Saccharomyces cerevisiae S288C: one gene and its partners. Changing the gene in region 3 together with the main gene of any one other region gives a genetic interaction. Each region holds a gene or a part of one and is shown on either strand. Other genes may lie near its edges.

Region 1 (3,759 bases), on a different chromosome or scaffold from region 3:
GATGACCTTTGCAGAGAGCCAGAAGTGCCTCAGCGGCTTTTGACATTAATAAATCAAATCGAAACCAAAGTGAAAAATAATAAAGTATTACAAGTAAGTGGAGTTCTAGGAGACGATTTGAAGAAAACCTCTTCTGACCTAGGAATTTTTGGCCATAGGTATAGATTAGCATTTAATAAAAAAGAAAATGGAGATTATGGCTATTATAAAGCAAGGGGAAAAGATAACGTCAAAATAAGGATACCCTGTGATTCTGAATTACCAGATTGGTTCAGGTTTCAACGAGATTTGTGGGAAAAAGAAAACGTTCCGGAAGAGCATCACTTTTATAGGGAACATATTTTTACATAGTTTACATTTTTACGTATATGTATAGATGATTTCATGATAAACGTTTTCCACTTTTCTATCATTTCATCATCTAAATGGGAATAGCAAACCCTGGGAGTTCTTTGTCGCACTATTTTCCAAGCGTAAAAAGGCATACTTCAATTTTTCTTTTGTTTACGTTTCAGGAAGTCAACAAAACTTGTTTACTTATAAACACAAATACCTACAGGCACTAAAGTTTGTTTTTTGGCCTCTATAAAATTTCCCTCAATGTTGTATTCTCTGCGTGTACATCCTCATAATCCTCGTTTTCTTCATCATCAAAATTCAAATAAGTGTGATCACCCATCGCTCTTGGTTGGAAGATTAATTTAACCAAAAAAATGATGCCAAATAAGGCGCAAAGCCCTGCAACGATGAGGTACAGTACGCCTAGTGACATATTTCTACCACCAATAGCTCCATTTGTAGTCAGTACAAATGATTTTGTGCCACCAAAGAGTGAAATCGGATAATTCAACTCAATGTTCATTTGATATTTACCCTTCGGTAAAGAAGCAGATTCATTTTTCAACGTCAACTTGTAAAACTTGGGAAAGGCTGCAGTCCTCATCCATACCTGGAACTCTTCCCAAGTATGGATATCAGGAAGATTTTCATCTGTATACCCATCGGGATACTTCTTCATCCAGTTTGGCGGTGGAACAATATCGCTAGCATTATACTTGGTGGTTTTAAATCTGTGACGATCAATACTCCATGATATATGCTTGTTAGTTAAATTATAGTCTTCTGTGTCATCTATACCACTCAACACCTGAGAAAATGTATCATTAAACATGGAATTAGCGATCAACCCACAGGGATATATTATTTTGTCTTCCCTACTTCTTATTGGACTACAGCTTGTATCCAGATCATCTTTTTTGATAGGCTCCCCTAATATTTGCTTTGTGTCAAACGATTGGACATATCTGCGATGATTTTGATAAAAATTGGTTATTTTATAATATATAAAAATGGATTTCTTGATATCGTTTGGGATTTCGAACTGCAGTTCGCATGATTGTTCGCCATTTTCATTTTCGGTTAGCCTCCATTGTGGTTTATTTTCAACTTTACTTTTAAAGTGATATTTAATGTACTTCTTTGGTATATCTTCAAAAGCAGTTGTAGATGCTTTTGTATCACAATGACTATAATCAATTGTTAGATCTTGTACCTTAGTAGCGCTTACAATGAGTCCAATACCAATAGGAGTAAATATACATGCAACGAATATTAACAACGGAAGCACACTTTGAGGAGACAGTATTGGTTGCCATGCCTTAAGCCTTTGTTGTCTAAACGCTGTGTTAGGAGGCTTTTTAGAAGTGGGGCCTTCTTTCGTGAGCGGTGGAGCCTTACCTCTTTTGAACAATGAAACCATATACAAGCTGTTCTATAGAACTTCAAGTTCGATTACTCAATTATTCTTTGTTCGCAGTGCGTCATGGACATAAGGTAATTGCAGCTCTTGTTTGATATAAATTGATGCTCATTATTATTATTATTCTCCAAAACAATAATACGGGTAACACTAATTTTCAGTAGTTCAAAAGTGAAAGCGACCCATATACAGTAAGAAAAGTTAATCGAAATTGCTTCTATTCTTATTCAAAATAGTATTCTCTGAAATATAGTATTATACAAGTTATATTTTTTTTTCTGAAATCATGATTTTCGTATATAAATAAATGCAGTTTTTTTATGCGTTGGATTGTAGAGGGGTTTGCCTTCTATTGATGGTGGCGGATTGGTCATCTTGTTCACTGGTTGTGTATTTTTTGGAATATTTTACTAATTGTTGTAAAATTAGTTTAATTTCGGGAACACTTTGTACAAAGGGCAGGTCTAAAAGATTAATATCGTTATTGTTTATCAACTGAGTAAAGAAAACTGAAACACCCCAGGTATGTGGTTTGTTAACAATAATTCTTTTTAAAAAGTTTCTTAAAATAATTTCTTGGACTTCAAGTTTTTGATCATTCCATTCGTCACTTTTGAACATATTCATTAACACAAAGCTGAACCAATAGGTGTGGATGTTTGGATACCGCAATTGTTCCACAATAGACAGAATAATTTGATATTTCATTTCGATGCTACCATTTTGAATCAGATTGAACAATAAAGTATAATAAGAAGACTTCGTATTAAATACCGCATTTGAAGAAGTTCTCTTATACTCTATTCCAGCTTCAATGCCCACATGTAATACAATAGCGCGAATTAATTTACTATCAACAGATAAAAAGTCGTAGCCTACGCCCTTTTTTATGTCATAGGTATCCTTGTAAATAGCGCTTAGTATTGTTCTTAATAATGAATTTGAGGGAATACGTAGGTAGTTGTCAACTGGCTTTTTCAATGAGTGTAAATCAATTACAGGATCAAAGAAGACTTCAGGTAGTTCTTTACATGCTGGAATATCCTCCATATTAAGATCCACGTCATATGGGTTGGGAACGGTCATATTCTTAGGAATAGCAGATAAAATAACATTCTTTAGTTGGAAATATGTTGGAGGTAGATTGTTCATTAATTCATAGTGATTTTCAATCAAAAAGGATGGCATATCATTCGAAATGCCTAAAATAACACGCAGTGTTCCCTTATAAACAACCGAAACAGCGTCAGAGACTGCATGTTTACTTGTGTATTGGTCCAAAAATTTAAACAAATCGATAATCAAAAGCATTAACTTTTCCCAACCTATTTTATTGGGTAATCTTAGCATAATTGGTAATAACATTCTGTGTGATAATAGTGTCACCCATGCAAATGAGAATCCAGGGAAGGCAAATGGTTGCAGAGCGTGCAAATATCCTGAGAAAGTGTTGTAAAATACAGAATCAAATTCGATCAGCTCCTGCCTAGTGCTGGAATCAGATATTCTAACAAAATTGTGCGTCCTGATGGTAGCCCATTCGTATAAGATGTTAGAAAATAGTCTGAAATATGGTCGTTCATTGAATGTGGTACCCTCTTGGCTATGATCCTTAGCAAACACTAAAACGATCACAGAAAATATTGCATTTATGTAATCTCTTCTTGTATCATCTTTGAAACCCTGTAAAATCAACAATTTTATAATTAGCGATCCTAGAGCATCAATAGCGATGAAAACCTCATCAGTCGGGTCACTTTCTTTGAATGAAGAAACTGATAGCTCAAGAGAACTTTTGACAAATGTAAGTAAATTATCAGTATCGCTGATAACACCCTTTTCGACTAATTGCTTGATAAAAACAGTTGTGATTACGTCGTTATTCTCAACTCTTTGAAGTAATTTTACCCATTCCGTAAATACTAAGTAAAGCTTTTCTGTTCTTGTGGTTTTGGTACCTTTCCTCACTGGCATTATCTTAGTATCTTCGAACTCTTTGA
Region 2 (3,759 bases), on a different chromosome or scaffold from region 3:
ATCCATTTATAAGTAGGTAGGTGCATAGACGTATATACACATATATTATAGACTAATTGATAAATTTTTTTTTCATCTTCGAAGATAAGGGGTATTCCAGTTGGGCAATGCTATTTCTTGACCAAGATCTTGCTTTTGTTCCGGATGCTTGTAGACGAAAATTCTTATCAATTTGGATGGCTTGTAAGGTAAACCGTGCCCAATTATCGTGTCTCTAGGAAATGAAATTTTCTCTTCAGATTGTAAGCAGGCCAAACTCCATGCAAACTGGTATGAAAAAGAACATTCACTATAGTTGAAGATTGCTTCAATGCTATTTACGGGTTCGATTCTAAAGAGTAACCACGGCTTCGATATCTGATATGGAATAAAGTCATAACCGAGTAGAACTAAATCACCATTGATACAAACATCTGAATCTGTCCTGTCGATAGCTTTCAGTTCCAGGGGAAGATGTGTCGTTCCAGTGCCTTCAAAAATTTGCTCATCGTATAGCCTGGGAAGGTGGCCTAGGTTAACACAGTATATTCCTTCAGATGTTATCAATTCGTTGATATATCCTGCACTTGCCACGATCTGCTTCGGCCCATAGTTGCATATGCCTATTTCCGTAATAATTTTCGGTATGTATCTGGCAACGTGCGCATTTTTTACATAAAACCAAACGTTTACCGGTGTAGGCTCGTCCTTCCTCCTGGACCAAAAGTTAACAGGTAAAGCTGTCAACGACTGCATAAGAGTTCTTTCCTTGGGCCGACTATTAAAGTTACTGGTAGAATCAGAACCATTTGAATCTTGACTTTTGGTATATTTGTCCCATCCCATATTAATTATCTTTCCAGGATATTGCAGCGCATTGTATACAATATACCAAGAATCTGCGATGTATTTAGTCATGCACAGTGGCACATTAAAACCTGGTTCCTTCGTTTCTTGAATGATTTCTCTGGCATGCTGTCGAAGTGGGTCCAAACTCTTGACATATAAACATAATGAATGTTTGACAACGGCCCATATATAGTTGTCCTCAGCTATCCACGCCAAACTCTTCTCCTTATAGCTGTGGTTATGCAAAACGTAGAAGTATTTATTGACAGCACGAAGTTCATTAGGCACGTACTCTAGTAATGATAAATGTATCTCCAGTGGTAAATCCATCAAGCTGCTATCGCTCTGATTCATCTCTTGTTTGCACACTCTGTCTTCTTTGCGCCAATAGGCATAGTACAAACAAAAAAACGAGCCAAGCAAACAGCGGAAACTCTATTAAAGGTTATGCTACCTTCCGATAGTGATAATATTATGAGAAACTCCAATGTAGATCTACTTGTCTGAGATGGCCTTTGATAAAAAAATCAATCGAGTACGCAATAGAGGGGCAGAGACTTTGAAGAGCAAAAAAAAGAAAAAGGAAATTTTCAGTTATTGTTCCGATTTTTCCGTGTGGGGTTCGGGATGCCTAGTTGTTCCGTAATGCGATTGAAAGATACACTTAACTAGGAGGCTGCTAGTACGCGACCCCTACCTACGTATTGCAAAGATGTTTGAAGTATCAACGGGTGTAGAACTTTGCAATCAAGCAAAAGCTAGATAGTTCCATTATGAATTGTGACGATGTTACCCGTACTGCCTACTACATCTCTTTATACGGATTGAAATCTCTAAAGGTTGCCCTGCCCGTCGTTTCTTTTTCGTTGGAATTCTTTTTTTTTTTTTTTTTTTTTTCATCTCATCACTAAATTGATTTAAAGTACAACTAGGGAAAAGAGACTAGATAATAGGTGCTTTACACGTTTTGACGTTTAGCTTTTACGGCTCTTTAATTGACTTGCTGTAAGTATTTGTATAATCATTGGTAATATTTGAATACATTCGAAACACTTGCTACAAGAAATTAAAAGGAGGAACTCTTCAAAAGGCTATATTTAATTACTGCTTATTTATTACATTCCTCCCTTTCCACAATTCTAACATAGGACAAACCTATAATATTTTTTTTAACTTCGGTGAGCATCATAAGCAATAACCATTTCAAACATAGTAATATTCATTCTACGAAATTCATTTTCAAGCTTGTTGAAATTGAAGGAAATTCAACAAGGAAGCAAATAAACAAATAAGGAAAAAACAACCGGCAAACTGGAAACAGAACGAAATGGCAGGCAAAAAAAGTCCTCGAAAAAGTACGATCAATCATAGTACACATTCTGGTAAACTGCCAGCAAATATTAAAAGGCTCATAAAAAAGGGCGAATCCGATACAAAGTCCAGGCAATCACCACCCACACTGAGTACAACGAGGCCAAGAAGATTTAGCCTTATATACTCTTCTGAGTCATCCTTGAGTGACGTATCTGATTCTGATAAAAACAAAAGTACAAACCCACATAAAATTAAAAGAAAAGCAAAGAACATTTCAAATAATTCCCAAGGAAAAAAAAGTAAACTTATACAAAGGCAAATAGACAATGACGACGAGGGCACAGAGTCATCCGATTACCAAGCTGTAACAGATGGCGAAGAGAGTGAAAATGAAGAAGAAGAGAGTGAAGAAGAAGAAGAAGATGATGACGAAGACGACGACGACGATGATGATGACGGAAGTGATAGTGATAGTGATAGCGAAACAAGTTCTGATGACGAGAATATAGATTTTGTCAAACTGACGGCCCAAAGAAAGAAAAGAGCCATGAAAGCTTTATCTGCCATGAATACAAATAGCAATACACTCTATTCCTCTCGTGAGAACAGTAACAAAAATAAATCAGTTAAACTATCCCCTAAGAAAGAAAATGAAGAAGAGCAGAAAGAAGAAAAAGAAAAAGAGAAAGAAGAGCAACAAAAACAACAAGAATCAAACAAAAAAGAAGTAAACGGTTCAGGCACTACTACTACACAACAGGCGCTATCGTTTAAATTCAAAAAAGAGGACGACGGCATTAGTTTTGGTAATGGTAATGAAGGCTATAACGAGGATATAGGTGAAGAAGTCTTGGATTTAAAAAACAAAGAGAACAATGGTAATGAAGAAGATAAACTGGATTCTAAGGTGATGTTAGGTAACAACGATGAGTTACGATTTCCCAATATTTCAGAGTCAGATGAATCTGAATATGATATTGACCAGGATGCGTACTTTGACGTGATTAACAATGAAGATTCTCATGGAGAAATTGGTACAGATCTTGAAACGGGGGAAGACGATCTTCCCATATTGGAAGAAGAAGAACAAAACATTGTTTCTGAGCTACAAAATGACGACGAACTCTCATTCGATGGTAGTATACACGAAGAAGGGTCTGATCCTGTAGAAGATGCTGAAAATAAATTTTTGCAAAATGAATACAATCAAGAAAACGGATATGATGAAGAAGATGACGAAGAAGATGAAATAATGTCTGATTTTGATATGCCGTTTTATGAAGATCCTAAATTTGCAAATCTTTATTATTATGGCGATGGTTCAGAGCCAAAGCTATCCTTGAGTACATCTTTACCGTTAATGCTAAATGATGAAAAACTATCTAAACTAAAAAAGAAAGAGGCCAAAAAACGGGAACAGGAAGAAAGGAAACAAAGACGAAAGCTCTATAAAAAGACGCAAAAACCTAGTACGAGAACAACCTCCAATGTGGACAATGATGAGTATATTTTCAATGTTTTTTTTCAATCAGATGATGAAAATAGTGGCCATAAGAGCAAGAAAGGCAGGCATAAATCGGGCAAAAGTCATATTGAACATAAGAATAAAGGCTCGAA
Region 3 (3,759 bases):
GATTGAACCCTCTGTTGTGATTAACTTCCTGTAAAAACTCCACGCAAGAAACAAAATATAAAAATAAAAAAAAAATTGGTAAAAAAATGAACAATAGAATACGCACGTATAAAAAAATACTAAAAATAAAATAAATGCCACCGACTCTATAAGTACACAGCAATAGTAATTAAAAAAAGACAGATGTCGCTGACTGGATCGTCAGCTGCACTTCAGTATTCCTTGATCCTCTCTCAAGTGGATCCATCCATTTCGGCCCCTAAATTTTTCTCCATCTCATCATACGATATTCCAAGTTGATCTTCGCTGACTAAGTAGGTTTTCCTACTATTCTATGACAATTCAAGTAGTAAAGTGCTTCTATTTTTTCGCAAACGATCATATTTTCCTTTAAAAGACGATAATGATTCTTCTGGAATATCAAATAATCACTCGCCTATGAGCTCAATATGGCCATTGGATGCCTTCTCTACTTCGAGTCCGCCTATGTTTAGAAGGTCGGCTATCATAGCATCATTATCAAATGTTGCATCTCCTTTTTGATTTTCCCGTGAACTTACTGAGCTTGAGCATGAGCTCAAACTTTCAGGAGTATTTATGTCATCACTCAATGGGTACAGCGATTTTGTGCACAACCCATCGATAACACTAAACGGTTTATCACTTAAAGACCAAACGTATAACTTTGGTACTTTTATTCCAATTCTTTTAGAATCCAATATTTCGCAAGCTTTATGGCCAATTTTCTTCCTTTTTCGATCTGGGGTTGGTAAGCTCTCGTCTTCATCTGTTGATTCATCATCTCTATAAGTGACCTCATCAATGTTGTAATCACTATCATAACTATCATTCCTTGGGCCTTCCGAAGAACATGTGAGGTTGGATAAGTCTTCTCTTGAACTATTATAGAGGCAATCAATATCCTTTTTCCTTGTATTAATAGCGACGTTGTCTAGACTAAAGGTGCGATCAGGTCCATCGAGCTCTACTTCGTCGATTTTATGCACATGCTCGTTGAGATGAAAAAAGCTAGACACATCTAATGTAGAAAAATGATTGCATTCACTGAAATGACCATCATCCAAGTTAAGGGGCGTACGGTCCTCAAAACAACTGCTACTATATTTTTTTTCGAGTGGTCTTGGATTTTTCACTCCCTTATCCGTACCATCCATTGGTGTCAATATCACGGCCTCATCAAAGTCGACATCTGATTCCGTTTCTGGATATTGGTGTGTAATACCTCTATTATTATTTATCGATACTGTTTCGCAACTATCGATGTGGTTGTCTACTAAAATATCAACACCAATGTCCTCTTCATCTTCATTAGTTGTTGAAGCCGAAGGACTGTGGTATTGTCGGTGAGATTCACTTTTACTTGTTGGCAAACCGAGCAGTACTACAGCCGAATTCGCCCCGAAGTTTACATCGCGCTTATTACTGACATATGTAGTATTGCCAGCTGACGTGAGCTGGTCATTAAATATATTATCTGCTTCTGTCTTAGAGCTGCTGCCAAGAGACGTCTTTTCCTCTACCTCGTTGGTGTTTTCCTCCCTAGAATATTTATAAGAATTTTTTTTTTTCTGTCTATTACTACTTTCTGGTTTTAATCGTTTAGCACTAATATAGCTACTCTCAAAATCCGAGGCCTTACTTATAGAGGGGTCCCAAAGAGCATCAAAGCTGCCATCATTATTGGATGAAAGGACGACAGTTGAAGAGGACGACGAAAAGGAAGCAGCTGTACCTGTCTCTTTTGGCTTTTTTTTATTTGGACTGTGTGGCTTGCGCCGCACGGTACTGTTAACAGGCGCACTAAGCAACATTTTAAAAGACTTTTTTATTCCGTACTATACCGCTGCTGTTCAGTTAAATGGTAACCTTCTTATAACTTTCTAGTGACCGCAATAATTATATTCCTTCTTTTAAGAAATTTCTCGATACAATTATAGAGGGCTTTTGACTCATTAATCTTACTGGAACCATTGACAGATTAGTCCGAAGAAGAAAACTCTAAAAAATCCGCTAGTAAGATTCAACAAAAAAAAAGTCTGCTTGCTATGAAAGTCTGATTTCTAGAGTACACACCTCTATAGCTACACTCTCAACTGATTGCTTCACTTTTTGAAAGAGGAAGAAGGACAAGAACTGGATTCACAAACTCAACTACATCTCGGTTTATCCGTTTAGACCAAGGTTTTATATAAGGCGAGGTAGAGTTCGGAAAAGGAAACTTTCATCGACTTCCCTTAATGATTATTGATTCCCCTTTGCTTTCTCTCCCCAACATTTGAAATATGATTTCTTTTTATTTCGAAAATGCCATTCTTCTCGTTCCCGTGATGTTTTCAATATGCATGCGGCAAGGGGAACATGATATTTCCGTTCTATGGCTTACGCAAGTAAGAAGCATGGCGCAATGATGCAATAGTCCATGGGGGAAAGTGTGGCCTCAAAATGAAAAAAAAAAGTGATGATAAATTAGTTATTAGGTAGTGATTATGTAAAAAAATTCGATTACACATTAATTATTAGGTAAAGTTGGTAGAAGAAACAGGAGAGAAAAAGAAGAGAAAAAAAAGGACAAAAAACGAATTTCATGTGGAAGTGTTCACGCTTTTGTTCAACTAATGAAGGTGCTCTCAACGATAGAAATACCTTTCTCGTGCTTATATTTAGAAGGTTGACAGTATTGATAAATGAAAGGTTTGATGCTCACAATTTTCTGAGCTAACGACCTGACCATGCTTGGTAACTCACCGAGAACGTCGTATCGATTAACCAGCCTCAAGTCGTGTTCTGAAAATCCACCGGGGAACTTGATAGAGGTTGGATATACCCAGCCGCTTTCCTTATCTGTACTCGTAGCACGGAACCTAACATGACGTTTTGGGCTCTGCACAGAAGAACCAATAGATATCAGTTTGTTTTTTTCAGTAATTGACCAAACTGTTACGGTGACGTTATCATGATCTCGAGGAGTAGTGAATTCAATTGCTAAAACAGAGTAGTTTTCGCTCTGAAAACATAGGAAATTCCATTTACTGGCTGCTTTATTCGGCAAAAGACCTTGAACAGCGTCCAGATAAACGACAGGAACATCAGTTAATGAAATATTTTTATTTTGAAAGTCCCCACTATTGAGTTTTTTATCGTAGGAAATATTACCATTACATTTACCTCTGGGCACAAAAACATGTCTGATCATTTTGTCTGAGGAAACGAATTCGTCACTCATCGAGATTTGTTTGTCAAAATAATAATTGCAACCGTTGGGGTTCATCTTAAAACCTTGAAACAAATCCACCAACAAATCGATTTTCAAATTTTGAATTGTATTGTTACATGTTGGTAAATCACATTTGATAGATAACTGGCCAATGGAACCTAATTTTTCATTTTTGTTGCTCAAAAATTCAAAAATAACATTTCTAGAGACAAACTTTAATGGTTGAAATTCAGCTATGTCATCCAATTTAAAACTTTCCCAAACGTCGTAGTCAGTATTATTACTTTCTGAGCCAAAAACCTTGAAATTCAATTGGAAGCCTTTATAGATACCACCCATAACCGTAGAATACAGTAATTGAACAAATCCACACAAGCCTGTATGCAAATCTGTGAAATATAACGTTTGGGTCTCGACTCTGGTCTCCATCGATTTTTTCATCACTCTGAATAAACCTCTACCACCATCTGTCTTGTTACTTATGGTGTGTTGGTAGCCCGTTTCACTATCATTGTGACAATACC

What was found.
Region 1: mutations in CRF1 (region 3) and CDC50 impair growth when combined (synthetic growth defect), as found in Saccharomyces cerevisiae (one study listed by BioGRID).
Region 2: of CRF1 (region 3) and IFH1, extra expression of one rescues a mutant of the other (dosage rescue), as found in Saccharomyces cerevisiae (2 studies listed by BioGRID).

What each region holds. Positions count from the first base shown.
Region 1 is NC_001135.5:284,762-288,520, reverse strand, and holds CDC50 (aminophospholipid translocase regulatory protein CDC50), read right to left. Parts: upstream 1,760-3,759; coding exon 584-1,759; downstream 1-583. Other genes in the region: OCA4 (Oca4p), read left to right, coding at 1-351; CCR4-NOT core subunit CDC39, read right to left, coding at 2,078-3,759.
Region 2 is NC_001144.5:583,887-587,645, reverse strand, and holds the start of IFH1 (Ifh1p), read left to right. Parts: upstream 1-2,155; coding exon 2,156-3,759. Other genes in the region: UCC1 (Ucc1p), read right to left, coding at 73-1,182. UniProt on the Saccharomyces cerevisiae protein: Transcriptional coactivator that together with FHL1 regulates the expression of rRNA and ribosomal protein genes. Its activity is negatively regulated by environmental stress.
Region 3 is NC_001136.10:910,172-913,930, reverse strand, and holds CRF1 (Crf1p), read right to left. Parts: upstream 1,833-3,759; coding exon 429-1,832; downstream 1-428. Other genes in the region: YDR222W (uncharacterized protein), read right to left, coding at 2,630-3,759. UniProt on the Saccharomyces cerevisiae protein: Transcription factor, corepressor with FHL1 of ribosomal protein genes. May be involved in the blocking of the spread of silencing.